3 linked regions of the Arabidopsis thaliana genome follow. The main gene of each other region encodes a partner of the protein of the gene in region 2 in a complex. Each region holds a gene or a part of one and is shown on either strand. Other genes may lie near its edges.

Evidence for each region. The genes of interacting proteins can lie anywhere in the genome.
Region 1: AT2G10440 (region 2) and MED21 share a complex: the UniProt entries of both Arabidopsis thaliana proteins name them as parts of the mediator complex.
Region 3: AT2G10440 (region 2) and MED9 share a complex: the UniProt entries of both Arabidopsis thaliana proteins name them as parts of the mediator complex.

Annotation. Positions count from the first base shown.
Region 1 is NC_003075.7:2,429,173-2,434,685, forward strand, and holds MED21 (mediator 21), read left to right. Parts: upstream 1-3,079; 5' UTR 3,080-3,190; intron 3,191-3,472; 5' UTR 3,473-3,492; coding exon 3,493-3,783; intron 3,784-3,867; coding exon 3,868-3,919; intron 3,920-4,148; coding exon 4,149-4,225; 3' UTR 4,226-4,463; downstream 4,464-5,513. Other genes in the region: ABCI8 (ATP binding cassette protein 1), read right to left, coding at 1-613; AT4G04775 (zinc ion binding protein), read left to right, coding at 1,948-2,112, 2,183-2,500. UniProt on the Arabidopsis thaliana protein: Component of the Mediator complex, a coactivator involved in the regulated transcription of nearly all RNA polymerase II-dependent genes.
Region 2 is NC_003071.7:4,012,410-4,020,632, reverse strand, and holds AT2G10440 (mediator of RNA polymerase II transcription subunit), read left to right. Parts: upstream 1-2,586; coding exon 2,587-2,708; intron 2,709-3,045; coding exon of another isoform or gene 3,046-3,072; intron 3,073-3,207; coding exon 3,208-3,310; intron 3,311-3,396; coding exon of another isoform or gene 3,397-3,463; intron 3,464-3,560; coding exon of another isoform or gene 3,561-3,619; coding exon 3,620-3,732; intron 3,733-3,822; coding exon 3,823-3,947; intron 3,948-3,990; coding exon 3,991-4,383; intron 4,384-4,425; coding exon 4,426-4,520; intron 4,521-4,612; coding exon 4,613-4,687; intron 4,688-4,811; coding exon 4,812-5,783; intron 5,784-5,870; coding exon 5,871-6,185; intron 6,186-6,262; coding exon 6,263-6,427; intron 6,428-6,469; coding exon 6,470-6,588; intron 6,589-6,670; coding exon 6,671-6,881; downstream 6,882-8,223. Other genes in the region: AT2G10450 (14-3-3 family protein), read right to left, coding at 35-127, 269-328. UniProt on the Arabidopsis thaliana protein: Component of the Mediator complex, a coactivator involved in the regulated transcription of nearly all RNA polymerase II-dependent genes.
Region 3 is NC_003070.9:20,551,855-20,557,412, reverse strand, and holds MED9 (mediator of RNA polymerase II transcription subunit-like protein), read left to right. Parts: upstream 1-3,158; 5' UTR 3,159-3,238; coding exon 3,239-3,712; intron 3,713-3,781; coding exon 3,782-3,844; intron 3,845-3,929; coding exon 3,930-4,010; coding exon of another isoform or gene 4,011-4,089; coding exon 4,090-4,148; intron 4,149-4,234; coding exon 4,235-4,292; 3' UTR 4,293-4,508; downstream 4,509-5,558. Other genes in the region: AT1G55090 (carbon-nitrogen hydrolase family protein), read right to left, coding at 1-58, 144-320, 436-574, 679-814, 915-1,083, 1,158-1,292, 1,389-1,492, 1,591-1,814 and 2 more; AT1G55070 (F-box and associated interaction domains-containing protein), read right to left, coding at 4,780-5,558. UniProt on the Arabidopsis thaliana protein: Component of the Mediator complex, a coactivator involved in the regulated transcription of nearly all RNA polymerase II-dependent genes.

The DNA of each region.
Region 1 (5,513 bases), on a different chromosome or scaffold from region 2:
CATCAACCGCGACATTAGCCAAACGTTTCTGCTCTGTTAAAGGAACACCTAACTTATCGAAATACTCAAGAAGCTGAGGATCAACTTCATCTAAACTATTCAAAGTTGGTTTCTTTTTAGGAGCAGAGTAATAACACATATCCTGGAAATTAATCGAAGGATATCTATTATCTGACCATTTAGGTTCTTCTAGTTTCAGAAACTTAGCATAAGCTTTGAACCTAAACTCAAGCATCCAATCTGGTTCCTCTTTCAATTTCGAAATCAAACGAATCGTCTCTTCAGATAAACCTTTAGGGATTGTGAAGGAATCGATATCTTCAACGAATCCGTACTTCTTATCGTAATCGAGATTTTGGAAATACTGTTGAAGTTTATCAGTTGAGCTAACGGTTGATGTACCTGATGATGATGATTCAGAAGCTCCGATGGGACGAGAATCGATTCCAACATCGGCTCTGAGTTTGAAGATCGGTCTCGTTGGATTTAGGGATTTGGGAGATGGGAATTTTAAGGATTCGGGTTTTGGGTGAAACCCTTTTGGTGATTTTGAGGAATCGGAAGTGGGTTGTGGAGAGAAGCTGGAGATACCGTTTGCGAGAAGAGACGCCATTGTTGTTGGTGTGGCTCTTAGGAGAAGTAAAAGAAGATTGTTTTTTTTTTTTTTTTTGGAGTCGTGTGTTAGAAAAAAAACAACGATTAGGAAAAAAATGAAGAAGAGATGAAATGTTAATATTTATGGAATTTTCTGAGCCGTAGATTGAAGATAGTCTCGTGTCAGCCACGAGACGATTTTTTTGTTGGATTTTCACTTTTCAGCTCAATTATAAACCACATACGTTTTCCACTAACTAATTATAAAAAAAAAATAACGTTGATCTCTTCTTTATTTGTTAAAAATCTCTTTTAGATATTAGATATTTTTTATACTTGGACAAAACAAACAAAGATATTAGATATTTTATAATCCGATTTACGGGTTGGTTTCTTGTTTTTGTTAATGAAAAAAAAAATTAGTTTGATCTTTTATTTCAAAAACTTAATAATATTTTATTTTAAAATTTGTTGGTTCATTCATTTCAGTTTAGTTTGGTACACTGAAATCAGTTTTAATTCTTTTTTTTTCTCATCTGAATTATATTAGAAACTAAAGTAGAATACAAGTTGAAATACATAAGCCAACAGACCAACGGAATATTTTGAGAAACTTAGCTGAAAAAAAGGAAGTAAAACCAAAAACATATATAAGGAAACATTTTAAACCAACGAAATTGAATCAAGAGACAAAATTCAAAAGAAAATAAAAAACTATGGGAAAAATAAGACCTAAACTTCTCCTAAAAAATGTGAACGCCGGAAACACCAATAAGATCGGATAGATTTTACACCGAAGTCAAAACTAATAGTAAATCGACAGAGAGGAAAGCAAGAAGCCGCTGAAACCAGAGACATAAGTACAAACACCATCACACCTCACCCACCAGACCGAGATAGCAAAATGTACTAGGGACAAGGCATAAACCTTGAAGATCTACTAGAGATAATTAAAGCACTAGACACAATCAGTATCGATTCTACTTGGGTTAGCTGATTTTCGAGCCATAAACTATTTCGATTCTCAGCTTTCACCCCCGGACTTTTGGGCCCTTAAATTTCCACCATCAACTTTCATATTCCCAAAATTACATCATCTACTTTCGGATTCATGCTTAAACATACATTTCCAATTGAACCATTCATTTAACCGGGATTAACCACAAATCCGCGTTTACTGTACCGCGATTGCGATTAACCCGACTAATACCCAGACCCGTTAAGAAAACGACGTCGTTTTCATTTCGTTTAACTCATCAAAAAGAGAAAGAAAACGACGTCGTTTTCATTCTTCTTCTTCTGCAAAATCGATTTGGTCGATTAGGGTTCTTCATTCGACAATTTTATAAGAAAATGAGCACCAACAGCTACTACTCATCCGCTTCCAGTTCAGGATTTCGTGTCTGTCCTCCTGGTGTCCCCTCGAAATGTTGGTGTGGAGAAGAGATCATTACATTCACATCGAAAACAAAGGAGAATCCATACCGGAGATTCTACCGTTGTGCGATAGCAATGAAGGTACACATTTCGATTTTGTGATATATTTGATTGATTGAAGGAGTAAATGATTGGAAATTATGTTTTATAGAGAGAAAATGAAGAGCACTTGTTCAAATGGGTTGATGAAGCTCTCTTGGACGAAATTAAGATGGTAAATGAGAAGTGTAAGAGAGTTGTAGAGAATATTAGTGACCTCAGAATGAACGTGATGGCTAATATGGAGCTCCTTAATAAAAACGCTAAGCAGATGGAGGAAGAGCTGATTAAGAAGATGGAGGGTGAACTCTTGACCATGAAGGAGAATGTGGAAGAGCTAGGACATGTTATGGCAAAGTCAGCTTTGAAGACTGTAGGGGTTGCTGTTGTGATTGTTGCATCTATTGTATGGCTTTGGGGAAGAGTGTAGGTGTTGTTGAGGTTTTGGAGTGAAATTGTAGTATTGGATTAGTCTCTGTTATAAAATTGTCGAATGAAGAACCCTAATCGACCAAATCGATTTTGCAGAAGAAGAAGAATGAAAACGACGTCGTTTTCTTTCTCTTTTTGATGAGTTAAACGAAATGAAAACGACGTCGTTTTCTTAACGGGTCTGGGTATTAGTCAGGTTAATCGCAATCGCGGTACAGTAAACGCAGATTTGTGGTTAATCCCGGTTAAATGAATGGTTCAATTGGAAATGTATGTTTAAGCATGAATTCGAAAGTAGATGATGTAATTTTGAGGAATATGAAAGTTGATGGTGAAAATTTAAGGGCCCAAAAGTCCGGGGGTGAAAGCTGAGAATCGAAATAGTTTATGGCTCAAAAATCAGCCACCCAATTCTACTTCAGTGTTTTTTTTTTTAATTAGTTGTCAATTAATTAAAGCAGTAGGTTTAAAGAAACAACAGAAATCGTTCCTTACGAATTCTATGGAATTAGGGCCCAAAAATCCAAAGGAAAGGCCACCTTAAAAGCCCATTTTAAAAATCTTCGAGCCCAAACCCAAAACGCAGAACGAAGTTTATTAAGAACAACAAAACGCCCCAATTCGCAGCGATTATCTGTCGTTGCCACACCCAACAGACTCTGCGTCGCCGGAGAAATCTTGTCGACGGGTAAGTCTCTTCGTTAAAGCTTATGCTTCGTTAAATCGATTAGGTCAATTTTTTCCCTGAGGATTCGCCATTTTGATCCTCTCTGAAATCCAACTGGTTTTAAGTGATTTATGCTTTGGCACTAGTTTTGTTGAGAATCTTGTTTGATAAATTCAGGAATTGACCACCAATTTTGTGCCATTTGAATCTCCTAGATCCTCTCTGAACGTTATATCTTGCTTTTGAGTATATGTTAAAAGTCTAATATGTGATTGATTACTGTAAATTTTATACTTGTTCAAGGTCTTTTAAGGTTTTGGAAGATGGATATAATCTCACAGTTGCAAGAACAAGTGAATACGATTGCTGCTATCACTTTCAATGCTTTTGGGACACTGCAAAGGGATGCACCACCAGTCCAGCTTTCACCTAATTATCCTGAACCACCCGCTACAACTACGGTTACTGATGATGCTACGCCTTTTCCTGAGCAACCTAAGCAGCTCAGTGCTGGCTTAGTTAAGGCTGCTAAACAGTTTGATGCTTTGGTTGCTGCACTTCCTTTGTCAGAAGGTGGTGAAGGTGCTCAGCTCAAAAGAATCGCTGAACTCCAGGTCAAACAAGTCACACCGATATGTCGAGTTCTTGAATCCGATTACTTCTATTTGTCTAACCGCTTTGTCCTGTTTTTTCTTCAGGTGGAAAATGATCTTGTTGGTCAAGAACTCCAAAAGCAACTAGAGGCTGCAGGTAAAAAACGATCTTAGGTTTTCACTTCATTGTTGGTGTGTCTTATCTGTCTGTAACTGGAGCAGATTCATTATGCACTTCAAATTTCAATTTGTATACTTTCTTGTTGATACACGCACTATGGTTAGATGTTATCTTTAGTGGTTCTAGAATTTGGAATTTTTGTTTTCCCTTGCAACTGCCTCTGACGATTGAGCTGATGTTAATGGTGTGACCTTGTTTGTGACAGAGAAGGAGCTAAAGCAAGTACAAGAGCTGTTTGGACAAGCTGCTGACAATTGCCTGAACATGAAGAAACCTGAATGAAATGCTTGTTTACCTTTTGTCGAGCTGATTTAGAAACTATATGATTTGGTTCAGCAACAATTATCTTTTAGGTTCATAAGGAATATCTATTCTAAGTTGGTTCACCAAAAAATTGTTGTAGAAGCAATTACAAGAATGTTAGTTAGCTCACAACAACAGAACCATTATTTTAACCTTACACTTTTTTGACCTGTCTGATTACAATCTCAGAGAATCCACTTTATCATTTTCACAATTACAGGCCATGATTGACACATCATGTTTGATTCTCCGGGCAGTGTTGGTCAAATTACTATGATGGTCAAATTACTATGAACTCTGGTATCTGTCACATTCAATCCAAGTTGCTGAAAAGAAATGACCAGTCCATAAGTTGTGGTCCAAAACCGGATCTTGATTGTGTATTTGTACTCAAGCATGTGAAGATATCCTAACTCATCATCCTTCTTGCGCTCTCTCACAAGACTTGTATAGAGTCCAACAATCTTTTGTCTGCGTGATGAAGCTTTAGGATGAAAAGAAAACTTTAGCCAGTCCGATCAATATTATAAATTAACAATTGTATAAATTTACCAATATATATATTTATATAAATATTATATGTAAAATATTTAGTGAAATATGACTCTACTATTGTTTTTCTTTAATTTTTATTAATTTTTTGTAAAGTTCAATTCTAATACTTTTACTATGTGAAAAAAAAAAATTGTATTTTTTTTTTAAACTTAATAATTGTTTTCTACTTATAATCGGATTAAGAAAGATTATTGATTATAAAGAAAAGATCACTTTTAAAATTAAATTTTTGTAAGAAATTATAAAATTTGTAAAATCTCTTTATAAATTGATAATTATTAATTTATCCATAAATTAATTAATTTTCTCGGTCCCAAACAATATTAACTTATAGATGTTTTACGGTAGTTTGTTGATGAAACACTCATATTCTTTTTAGGTTTCTTCTTGTTGGGTGCTTGAGAAAATGCAGACCGACTTTCTTCGATGATATGTTGTACATCTTTATCATCTATTGGAATTTTTTATATCAATGCCTTGGCACCTTCTGAATCCCCTGCAGCTAGTAGAACCTGATACATCCTGCCAAACCATAAACAAGAACCAATGATATACCGAAAACCTCTTGATCTTTTGGAAACTGATGATCTAGTTATCAGAATTGACTGCATCCTCTTGAAACTAATCGAACCCGTAAATCGAAACCCACAGGACATTGTTGAAGAGGAAGACGTTGAGGCAAAGGTGGCTGTAGCAGAGGGTGCTGTAGCAA
Region 2 (8,223 bases):
AACAATGATCAATGTATATTGTGTTGATGCTTACAGTCATATCTGAAGTCCAGAAAGTGAGATTGTCTCTAAGAATCTTCATAATCAGGGTACTGTCCTTGTATAATTCATCACCCAATGCATCCAACTCAGCGATAGCACATTGGCATTGTCCAACATACAAGAACAAAGATCTTGCAACGACAACATTTAGTTTAAGCAATTAATGAATAAAAGCAGCACAAAGAACATAATTACTAGTAACGTCTTCAGGTGACAAAATATGTACCATCATCAGAGCCTCCGGTTGCAGGCCGTAAACAATCCTAGTGGCAAAGTAACAACACATGGTTATGGGATCTCAGAAGCTTCTTTGATTCTCATAGCACCAATCACAAGGAGAGTCAAACCAACGACTCTTGTACCCCAAGTCCTTATAACTTCAGTGTGAAGCCTATTTCAATTTCAAGGTATAGAGCAGTGGATAATCTCAAGGTAAACTACACAGAAAAAACTACAATTCACATAGATAGTTCGAACAATTACTACAAACTTGATATTTACGATGTTTCAACAATTACTTGATCATGAAACCATAGACTACTAGTAATGAATCCAATGGTTCTTGAAACAACTGAAACCTATAAACATTGATGCTTCTTCAAAAACCACCAATCCAGTAACTTAAACCAAAAATAGTCGCAAACATCGATATAAACAATACACTGACGCTAATCCAGAAGATTCATAGTCGTGAATTACCTTAATACTCTGATTCAATCTTCGAGATGTATCCGGCGATGGATTCTGGCGGAAGAAGCATGAAAGGGAGCTGTCTCGGCGTGACTGGAGACGGCGAAAGGAGGTAAAGCTAAGACCCAATTTCTCATTAAGCCCATCTTCATTAAAAACAAGACCTAAACGTGAGAAGTGTGTACGTATGTATATAATGTCTTCTTCCTCTCGCCGCTTATGTTACGAGCACGCAATGTTAACCTTATCAAAATCATAGAAATTTGATCTCAACTCTCAAGTCACCATCATCCTCCACTATCGAGTTCACCATCGTTGTAGTTTGTGGTTGTGGTCCCGATCGTGTTAAGTGGTGACGTGAAGTTATCGTCACGTAACATCCAACCCTAATCATCACCATCTGAGCCACTATTAGCCTTCTTCGTCCTCCTTCTTCACCGGAATCTAGATCTATCATTGGTGCTTTGTTTGGGTCTGTGATACCGAATCCTCTACTTCTTCGTTGCAGAGTGAGATAACGGTGAAACCTTATTCTCGTATTCATGTTAAGGTGTTGTGTTGTTTAATTATTGAACCAACCTAAACCAAGGGATTACGTATAGTTACGGCCATGAATTGAAACTTGATTATTAAGGAACCTTTTGAGTTGATCGGTTATGGCGTCAGTTGGGTTGTGTTAGTGAAGAAGACGATATAGTCAGTTATTGGCTTATTAGAAAGCGTTGGGTTAATTGTCAAACCAGAAGTAGCATTGACATGTACGTGATTTGAATTGTGGCGTTGGTTTAATTATTAAACCGGGGAGTATTTGGTCACGTAAATGGATGTGGCGTAGTCAATTACGTGTTAAGCAACTAATATTAAATTATTAGACTTGGTTTAGTTATTAGATTAAATAACAAATTATTAAGGGAATATAATCTTGATTGATTAATCTAAATTGTTGTAGTTTGAGATCGTTGTTGAGCCGGATCCATTGTTGCTAGTCCTATTTCTTAAAATCCAACCGAGTTGCCAAGGTGAGGGTAGGATCTGTGGAAACATAGTATCACCTTTACTTTTGTATTTCTGAATTTCATTTGTATAAGATTAGACATTGGGTGCTGATTGTTAAAATGTTAGGATTATATATTAAATATTGTTGATTCAGTAATCAAACAATGAATTTGTACTAAGGGATTTAGACAAATTCACTCCTCTCTTAGCTCACAAATAATCAAAGGAAAAGAACTAGGTTGCTTAAACAAAAAGCTAGGGTTTGCTCTGTAATAGTAGTCTCTTGTATTAGGTTAAAGATGATCTCAATGGGGGGTTTGACCCCTCTATTTATACAATAGGTCGAATATACCAAAATATGATAAACTTCTAATTATCTTAGGTTTAAATCTTCATTACTTCTATTCTTCATGAGATCCTCTTCTCTTAAATGGAAGTTTTCCCTTTACACGACCTAAGAAGTTGGTTATGGCGATCTTGATTGTCGACTTAAGTCTTCGGGCGATCTCATGACTTAGGCCCATTAACAGGCTAACCGGGATACCCCGGTTCAATCGAATTCTCGATTTTATTCACATTATTCCTCGGTTTAAATTAGTATTGTCGGAGGTGCTAATTCCTGCACCAACAAATATTATAATACGTGTTGTGTGATATTATGCGATAGGTTGTTAGCGTGATATGCATATTGATTTTTGAATACTCTTTTGTCGTTTTCTTGTACTATATATTTATCTGTTTTGTGTTACCATGTTGAGTAATTTCTCTAATCATTCTTTTGTTTGTTTGTTAAGGTTTAGCGAGGCGGTTCTTGGTCAAAGCCTATACATACATCTCCCCGTTAGGACGCATAACTTAATGGAGGGAAATACTAACTGGAAGCCTAATGAACAAGGCGGAAACCGTGATGCTGCGAATAATCGTATTGATTGGAGATCACAACATGAGCCTGAATTACGGCAAAAGGTTCTTTCAAAAATGTAAGCCATTCTTTCAAGAGTTTCATGTTTCTTTTGTTGGACTCATTGTTCTTATTTGATTATTAACATTCATGAAAGAGAGTAAGGTTTTCTTGGTCATGCTTTCGATGTGATATTTGTAGTTTGCGCATGATAAAGATTGCAACAGTTAAAGCATAAGAGTTGTGCATAAATGTTTATCATAGTTGACAAAACCTAACTTCAACCTTTTGTACTTTAAGTTTTGCATATTCTTTTAACCTCATTACCTGCATTTAGGCTCTTCCTCACTAGGAGAATCTTGTTTTACTCTCGCTTCTATGTACAATTGCTTGGCACATATGTATAATTGTTTCAGTGTTTGTTCGCTAAACGATTATCGTAAGTTCGAATATTAACTACGGATTATTTTCTCTGTTTTGTATTTTTAGTGCAATTAAAATGGTATCACTTCCTCTTGAATATCAGTTATAACCAAATTCTTCATAGTCACTGATATTTTGTTCTCATGTATGTGTAGAGTTGAAAAGTTCAAGGAAAAGTTTCATGCACATGAAGAATATAAGATTAACGACATCGCTTCCAAATTTGAAGAAAATTTTTATAGCATAGCAACCGATAAGGTGTTAAACTACAAATTGTTTCTCCATCTATTAACTTCAGAATCTGAATTTGATATCTTACTCATTGTCCCCTTGCTATGTTTCAGAATGATTACCTTAGGAAACTCAGTGAAACACTGCATTATATACAGAGAACTTACACTAGAGTTCTAGGTAATAAGTTTTTGGTTTCATAATTATACTATTTTAGCTTAATAACAAAGAAATCACTAACTAACTTTTTTTTTCTATGTGTTTATCTAAACATCAGCTTCTCAAGTAGTTGTGAATCAAGCTCAATCTCTTCCCGCCTTGTTGCCATATATGCAGACTACAACGAGCCAACAATGGTTACAGCAAAACACACAGAGCAATCTCTGTGTCATCTGCTTTGCCAAGTCAGGTCCCTATAACCGTTCCCGGTTCTCAAAGACAGATACATGGTAGGCAACAACTTCTTCCTCAGCAGCAACAGCCTCAAATGAATCAAATCCGCCATGGTAATTTACGACCTTCGCACATGCAACAACAAGCTCGGTCACCGCAGCCGCAACATCATCCGCAAAGTTTGTTGAAACAACCTATTCAACAGCCTTTTCCTCAATCAAGCTAACAAAACACTCAATCACTGACCAGAAATCAGTTTTCGATACAACGGGTCAGTTTTAGTCATCAACAACAGATGGTTCTGCCGTCTCAAGAACAGAAACGACAAGAACAAGAGCAACTCATTAATCAACTGACGAATCTTCCAACATCACGACCAAACAATAGAGACCAACAAGGAGCTTTTCAGGTATCCTCGTCTCAGCAGAACAATAATGTTACCTTACATGCAATGTCTCAACAGAAGAATAACCTCCAAAGTATGACTAGAGGTCAACAAGTAGGACAATCTCAACCAATGATGTCACAACAATACCGACAACAATACCCCATGCAGCAGGATCCTCAGAACAGAAACTTACAGAAACATTTGGATTTTGTACAAAACAATACCAATCAATTTCAAGCAGCAAGTTCGTTGCGCCAAACACAAAACATAACAGATCAACAGAACCAGCCACAACAATTAGAGAGAGCAAATCCATCTAGTATGTTTCCTCTCTTACTAACTCTTGTGATAATGTTTTTAGTTCTAATAATGAATATCATTGTAGCATCTCAAGATTCTACGGGAAAGACGGTAAATGTCAATGCCGGAAACTGGCAGGAGGAGACCTATCAGAAGGTATCTTCACTTGCTTTGCTCTTCACTTCTTAACATCACAATTAGGGTTTGATTTTGTTTTCAATTGATTCCCATTCTGATATGTCCTGCAGATAAAAAAACTGAAAGAGATGTGTTTACCTGTTCTCAGTTTAATGCACCAAAGAGTTGCGGAAAAATTGCGGGAGGTACTTTATTTTATAACCTAATTGTTTTGCTTGTGGAACAAGAATTTGTTCTAATGGTTTTCTTAATCATTTTTTTTTCTAAAACTTTGTGTTGTTTTTGGTTTAATAAACCTAATGTTTCCAGACTGAATCTCTTCCGCCGCAACCGATGCAAGCTCAGTGGATTGAAAAGCTAAAGGCGGGAAAATTGTCAATGGAACACCTTATGTTTTTCTTAAATGTTCATAGGAGCAGTGTATCAGAGAAACATAGAGACAAGTTTAGTCAATATGAGTACCACATATTGAAATTTACCAAGAGTCAGACCATGGTTTTGAGGCCAACGCAGCAACAACAAGGACAATTTCCTCCTTCTCAAACAGCAATGCAAACCCAAAGTCCTCAAGTCCATGTGTCACAGTCTCTTTATAAGGAGCAAAGGAGATCACGGTTGATGCCAAGTAGCCAAAATGAGGCCTCGTCTTTGTTGCAAATAAGGCCTAAGTTGGATCCAAGAGACGAGAACATCATTATGGCTTCCTCAGGAAATGTCATGTTACCTTCTGTTAAACAAAATCCTCGGGCCGTAAACACAAATATCAGTTCGGTTCAGTCGTTGCAGAAGCAGAAGCGATTCCATCACCGACAAATGCAACAACAACAACCACAACAAGGGAATCATCAACATCAAATGCAGACAAATGAGATGAATGATGTGAGGATGAGGGAGAGGGTCAACATTAAAGCCAGGTTGCTTGAGCAACAAGTCTCATCGAGTCAGCGCCAGGTTCCAAAGCAAGAGTCTAACGTTTCATCCTCTCAGATACAGAACCACTCTTCTCCTCAGTTAGTTGACCAGCATATTCTTCCTGCGACGATTAACAAAACCGGAACCCCATTGAACTCTAGTGGTTCGGCTTTTGTTGCTCCAGCTCCATCTCCAGTTCCTGGAGATTCTGAAATGCCTATATCTGTTGAGTCTCCAGTTTCTGGTGTTGATGAAATAAACTCAACTTTAGATTCTTCTAGTAAACTTGGCACACAAGAAACTCCTCTGTTATTTGTTCCTCCGCCCGAGCCAATCACAGAGCGGCCTATTGATCGACTTATAAAAGCGGTAAGTAAACTCTATAGCTTATCTAAGTTTACTTTCTTTACCTTCTCCTATTTACTGACCTAATTTTTAATGTGTGTGGCTTTCTAGTTTCAAGCAGCATCACCAAAATCATTGGCAGAATCTGTAAGTGAGATTAGCTCGGTGATTAGTATGGTTGACATGATTGGAGGATCGTTCCCTTCTAGTGGAGGATCTAGAGCTGGTTTAGGCGAGGATTTGAGTGAGAGGACAAGAAACTTTACCACACACGAAGAAACAAATCTGTCTAAGAGAATGAAGCGATCAATCAACATTGTGCCGCCAGATATGTCATCACAAATTGATAGTTATGAACAGTTGAGTAGCCTTGAATCTGAAGTTGTTTCCACAACATCATCTGGCTTGAAAGTTAACAATATTGCGGTAAAATCTACTCTATTGGTATCGAACTACGAAAACAAATGAAACATCGAAATAAATCCATTTTTTCAATCTTGTAGCCTGGTTATGCCCTTTTGCAAGAAATCAAAGAAACAAATGGGAGACTTGTAGAGACAGTGGTAGAGATATGTGATGAAGATTCTTTAGGAACAATCGTCACTTGTACTTATGCTCCTGTGGCTCTCAGTGCCACATTCAAAGATCATTACAAGTCTGGAAAAATTGTAAGTTACTTCAAACTTCTTCTTTTTCCTCACTCTGCTCAGATTTTTTATGTCTCTAAATGTTTGATGCAGGCACAGATTCAACCTTTACGCTTACTATTTCCTATGGATTATCCGTATAGTTCTCCGATAGTTCTCGAGGAAATCTCCTTTGACACTAGGTATGAATCTTTCTTAGAAATCAAGTAACAACGATTGGAGTAAATATATATGATCTTAAGGATTTATATCTGCATGTTTCAGTGTACACAAGTATGAGGATCTATCCGCGAGAACCAGATCAAGGTTCAGTTTGTCCATGAAGGAATTTTCAGAACCAGGGTTTTCGAAAGGAATAGCTCAAACGTGGAATGATTGTGCGAGAGCGACAATGGTTGAGTACGCAGAGAGACATGGTGGAGGCACTTTCAGCTCCAAGTATGGTGCTTGGGAAACGGTTCTAAGAGCTTCATGAGGACTAATACTTCCTTTCTCACTCACCGTACAAGATAGTTTTTAGGTGGGAAGCCTTATAGCCCAAGTTAGGTTTTTTTTTATTTCCTTTGAGATAGAAGTAACATTTATTTGTATGGTGTGGCTCATGTCTTCTTATTGTATATATTTTAACAAGAAATTATAATTGTTTCAAAACCGATAGTATAATAAATTATCTTGAAATATTTAGGCACAAAGCCTTTTTTTTAAAAAAGATTTTAAAGTATTTTATTGTTTTTTCTTATTACATGTTTCATTTATAGAGCCCAAAAGGTTGGAATATAAGTTTTAAAAAAGGATTACAGAAAATGAAGCCAAGCCTATAAAACTAAATCATCCTTAGTAATTTAAACATCCACTCATAAAGATTTTGCTGATGAAACGTGTTGATGAAGTGTTTTGCCCTATGACACGGGCCGAGACGTCAAGCACCGCTGTTGAATTCGCGGGAAACCGCTAGAATTCACCAAAATGTTGAGAATCGTCTTTCCTTCTGTCGATCTCGAACCCATGTCCAAAAATCGTCGATATTCTTTCGGATCAAGTGATGGAAGTCGCTTAAAAATTCTTCAAGTATCATTATCGTCGGGGAAGCTCCACCTCTGACGACACCCATATTGATGTGGCCGGATCTTTGTTCATGTGTGTGCATAAAGAAGTGGTATAGATATTACTCGTCGAACTAATTGGTGGGAACATAGAGGATTTGTGAAGAAACCAAAGACATCAACAATCACCAATAGATGGAGATCTAAACTCGCAAGGCAAGAGAGAACTTGATAAAAGTGGTATCAAAAGTCTTGTCCGAAATCAAAATTATTGATATCGTCGAAGCAAAATTTATAAACCTAATTAAACAGAAAAAAAAAAAAACTGAAATTAATATCCGATTTGGATTAGAGCATGATCGTTTCTAAAGAAACGAGAAGGGTAAGAGAAAAAAAAAAGAAAAAAAAAAAAAGCTCTCGAAAGTATCCTATTGATTTACATGACATGATAAGAGATTTATAAAGCAAAATAAAAAGCTATAGCCTCAAAATTGAAACAATCATGCTGTAGATTCCTATTTTTTTTTCTCGCATCCCAAATAATAGCACAACTTTATAGTCTTTAGAAGGTCTGTACATTTTTTCTCTTTTTCTAAAAAAAGTTTTATATCTATTTCTCCATGAATCAAAAGATCTCTATCTAAACTCCCTGAATTGATACTTCAACATTTATTAACCCATATTTTTGGGTTTATTCGGTTAACTATACTGTTAACCATTTATAACCAGAGAAAACCATACATCAACGAAAGAAGAAAACAAAAATACTCTAGC
Region 3 (5,558 bases), on a different chromosome or scaffold from region 2:
TCAAATCCATTTTACTGATACTTCCTATAGGATTTATGTCTGCTGAGCTGCAATCATACTGTTTCAACCAAGAGAATGAACAATATTTTTTAACCATCTATGAAATTTGAGATGTAGCAGCCAAAAAGTGATTACTCCATTACCTTTGTCAGGTAACCACGAAGTCCTTCATCAACGTTGGAGCTGCCTAGAACAAGGTAAAAGCCTGGTTTGCTATGAACCCAAGGCAAGAGAGACGCTAACATAAATGCTAACACCATTCTCATCCGGGCTTGAATGTTCTGCAACCCAAGGTTCTCAGCATTTGATCCTCCATCAACCTAATAAACAAAACCAACAACCATTTTCACAATTTTAGTTCTTCTTCTCTTCTCCAGATGATCATATTTCATTTTTTCTAACAGTTTGCCTAGGTAATGTATATTCAGACTTTACCTTATACCTTGGTCGCTTGCCTGTAACTGTTTGAAATAATGATAAAACTGCAGAGACAACACCATCTATGCAAACATCAAGATGCCAAGCACCAATCTCGTCTGCCAGCTGCTTTGAACGCCTTTTTGTCTCCTCAGAACTGCAAATTTAAGATTTCAATATGGGGAAAAAAGTTTCATCTCTGCTGTAAATCCACACAGTGACGAAAAATCATATTCTCTTTGCTCTTATTAACTAATTCACCTGTTTTCAGAACCCATAAAGACAGTGTAAAATATTCGTTTGGCAAACTCTTTGCTATCAGTAGGAAACTGCCCATTAGCATAATTCCCAATTCGGTTCGCATCAGCTTTTACTTGCTCATCTCCCTTTGCAATCTCTAAACAAGAAAGAAAATATACTCTGAGAGAACTCAATATCATGAAATTTCAACAAGACAAAACACAGTTCAACATACATAGAAAAAAGCGCCAGTGTACCTTTAACAACAAGTTGGCACATGCAGCCAACAATAGCTGCCACGGAGGAGCTGTCTGCTCCGCCAGAAAGAGGAAGCAAAAATCCTGAAGCGCCACTTCTTCTCAAATAGTCCCACATCCAGCAAGCGGGACCAAAGGCTATTTCTTCTTGTGGAGAGTGGTAAATGATCTACATTACTAATGTATATTAGAGTGGAAAATTTTAGATGTTAACTTAACATCAAATACTCAAGGATGGAGAACCTTCTTCGGACTGCTTAGTGTCATTTTCAGGTTGAAGGACTGTGTAAGTCTACAGGGCACAGCTACTGAAGATACTTTAACCTTGCAGCTTGCTTGTTCCTGAAAGCTACTTATAGATCCACGAAGGCTAGCAACCTTTCTCAAGACAAATAAGCAAGATGATCCTAAGAACTTTTCATTTATATATCACAAAACAGAAGAAAGTAAAGCCAAAGGGTAACTGTGGGATACCGCATCAAGATCCACTTGTGAAATGATGACCTCAACGTCTCTCAACGAGAATTGTGAGCCTTGAGCAACAACATTCCCGTTTACAACAATACATGCACATCCATCTGCACTTGGTTACAAATGAACAAATCTCACTCAAAAAAGTAGATATGATTTACTCAAAAATGATACTTTCAATAATTTTAAGGGTTGTCAAACATACCGTAGTATAAGCGGCTACCATCGCATCCTTGTTGATTACTGTACATATACACCCCACCACGAGCATGAGTAGCCCCCATAAAAGCATTCAGACGAATATCTAGTTTCCTAAGTTGGTGATGACTCCCACTTGCATTCATAAATACTTCAACACCATTCAATGCGAGCTCGGCATGAGGAGGAAGTGGACTAAACAGTTCCTCACAGACTTCAGCTGCAACAGCCCTGATAAGGAAATATAACTGATACAGTTAAGCAGACAAAATCATTGACAGTGTTGAAATGGAAGCATTTATCCAAACTCACGTGTCGATAAACTGGATGTAACCATAACCAAAAGGGACTGATTTCTGCTCCAAAGCCTCTGAAATTTCAATGGGGAGCTGAAATTCCTCTAGCTCTTCTCTCTGCTTCCAAGCTGTGAACCACCGTAGCTCCCTATAGTTTCCATCGTTTGCGAGCCACATTTTCGGTCGAATCATGATGATTCTTCTGTTCATACAGAGAACCTGGCAGTTATAACGCTCTGCTCCTTTAATCACAGGCATTCCTATGCTGCACAAAATATCATCCGTCCAATCACCAAGCAGCAATTCCTTCAAACACTCCCACCTGAAAGAAGATATTCACATGAACATAAGAAGAAACGGTTAAACATGATTCCGATAACTAAATTCAGAAGAAAAAGAAATTAATTCCATCATCTAAAGTGATAGTACCAAGTCATTCATGCCATTCATCATCGAAATAGAAAACTAAAAATAGAAGCTTACGCATGAGTGACAGTGTCGAGTTCCAAGAAGTGATCCTCGCAACCATAGCCAGTGACCTCGAGCTCGGGTCCAAGCCTGATAACAGCACCAGCAGCCTTTGCCTCAGCGATCGAAGCCTTGATGTTCTTCATGTTGCTCTCGAAATCCATGGCCCATTGGTTCAAGTTACACGTAGCAACCTTCAACAGCCTCATCTTCGTCGCCTAAAGAGAAAGACAAGTAAATTTACTGTACATCAAGTAGTGTAAAAAATCTGACTTATCTAAGGCACAAACTTGTTCATGAGAACAGAAGCTGGTTAAATTAGTTAAAGGAACAAACTTTGTATTACTTTGCTAATACTAACAATTCAAATTCAATTTTAACAGCCATAATACACAATATCTGTAACGAAGAACTCGTCAACGCAACACTATTCGATGTGAATCAATTGCCAAAAGAAGAGAAGGAAGAATTGGAGCTTACGTGAATGTGCAAAGAAACCAAGTATCAAAGTCGTGAAATTCGGAGATCGTGAAAATTGAAAACTATGGGAGTTTGTATTTCTTTCAGATGTGAAATTCACAGACTCCAAGTGATTGTGCAGTGCTCGTGCAGAACAGATTGTGACCGACCAAGAAGAACATTCGGTTTGAGAGGAAGAAGAAGAAGAAGAGATTGATACTGAAACGACGGCGTTTTACGATTGTAAATTACAAACAAAACCTTAACTGAGAACAACTTCGTTTTATCATGACACGACATCATTTTTTTTTTTTTTTGGTCAAAACACGACATCGTTTAAGTTCCCACTTTTGTCTCTTCTTCGTTCTTTTAAGTTTTAATAGACGACGACGGCGACGAGAAGGAGAATTAGCGAGATCGGAAGGAGAAAAAATGGATCAATTCTCAGGAGGAGGAGGTAATTGGTCGATGATCCCAAACGTGCAGGCGCAAGGTAACTTCGGTACACCGACGAATCATGACCAGCAACTATTCCTCCAGCAACAACAATTACAACAACAACAACAACAACAACAACAACAACAGTTTCATCTTCAACAACAACAACAGACGCAGCAGCAACAACAACAATTCCAGCCACAACAACAACAAGAGATGCAACAATATCAGCAATTCCAACAACAGCAACACTTCATCCAACAACAGCAATTCCAACAACAACAACGGTTGTTACAATCTCCTCCTCTTCAGCCACAGTCGTTACAATCACCTCCGCCGCAACAGACGATGGTTCACACGCCTCAATCTATGATGCATACACCGCAGCAACAACAACAGTTGGTTCAAACTCCGGTGCAGACTCCTCAACAGCATCAGTCTTTAGCTTCTCATTTCCATCTCTATCCGGTAAGAGAAACAAAGAAAATTGATGAAATTGGAATCGTTGGGGGTTCTAATTTCGTGTTAATGACGCAGATGGTGGAGAAATTAGCTGATGTGATCGAAAATGGAACACGAGATCAGAATTCTGACGCCCTGGTTTGTTAAAAATCAAGTCTTTTAAAGTGGTTTTGAGATTTCTAGGGTTTCTTATTGGATGATGTTGAAATTGTGGGATTTGCAGGTGAATGAATTGAATAGCCATTTCGACAAGTGTCAACAGTTGCTGAATTCGATTTCAGGATCACTAGGATCTAAAACTATGGTAACATTTTGGATCTCTGTATTGGTTCTGTTTAATCTTTTGTTTCTTATGGATCTCTCTCTCTCTCTGTGTTTTATAGACTGTTGATGGCCAAAAGAGAAATGTTGAAGAAAGTGAGCAATTGCTTCAACAGAGAAGGTTAGCTAGATTGTTAGTATCATGTTTTATCTGATCAGATTGTGATCGTGCTCTTACTCTTTTGTTGTTAAATGTCTTCTGGTCAGGGATTTGATTGTGGAGTATAGGAAATCTATTGAAGAGATTGTGACAATGGAGCATTAGTTTCTCATATTTTGATTCAGCAACTGTTTAGCTACTTAAGACCAATAATTGTTATCAATAAACCAATCTTGATTCACATAATAAAGAGAATGTGGTTTTCTTCAAGAAAATTCATTCTTCGGATTACAAATAGATCACAATGCATAATGTGTTTTGTCTGCATCAAACCAAACCAAAATCTTTGTATGTGGGACATGCAACAGAAAGCTCAACCCAAAAACGATATAAGCCCAGGTAGTTGTTGAACATAGTGAGTGGTTTTGTGATTTAGATTCAGAACAGAGTAGAAAAAGCATTGTAGCGACCATGGAAAATTCAACCATTATTCCACAATGATCCTCCAAATATAAAACAAAACACCATTGAAGCCACATCTATTAGTCTTTTAAAAAGAAATAAAAACACCGACTTCTAATCTATCCCTACTCACTATTTTGAAATCATGATAATAGTCTTAAACAGGTAAAAAAAAAACCCAATAAAACACTCACGTAAGCTTCATATTCTCTAGATAGTTTGGAACAGCATGAAACAAAACCCGTTTAGAACCTTGAGATTCTGGAACTTCAACTCTTACTCTTACCACAATGTTCTCCTCGAGATTGTAGTAATAAAGGTAAAAAGGAACTTGTGGATCATAGTGATTTGGGCAGAATACAGCTTCACCTTTACTAGTAACTAAAAAGTTTACATCAATTCCATTGAACTCCGGCCATTGAAGGGGCTTTACGTAGATATGCTTTGACCATTTACGTTCCTGGCCATGCTCTAAAACCCACAACACCAAATCGTTATCATTACTATTTATTGAACCTAATTTACCCTTGTAGTTTATCAGAGAGGGAGGTTTCCAAGTAATAAAACCAAATTTCTCAGACCTAACGTCAAAGCAAACGATCATAGGTCCCAACATAGGTTTCATAGAGGTTGCTGCATAATACAAAACACCTTTGATGCATATCCCCTTATGATAACGGTGGGTATAATAATGTCTGCGACATTGGATCTTCCTCCAAAATAGATTTCTCCTTCCAGTCTCGAATGTGAGAACTTGATGCTGACTATCAAACTCCTCCCCTGTTCCATGATGCACCGAGGTTACACACAATACCTTGAACCGTTTGTTGATTGGATCATACCCGATGGCGAAATAGTTTATTGTCGCATGTGCTTCCAATATGGGTAAGGTTACGTACTGCCCTGTGATGGGATTATAAATCACAAAAACTGTGTCATTTTTTATCTTACGGTGATAACAGACCAGTC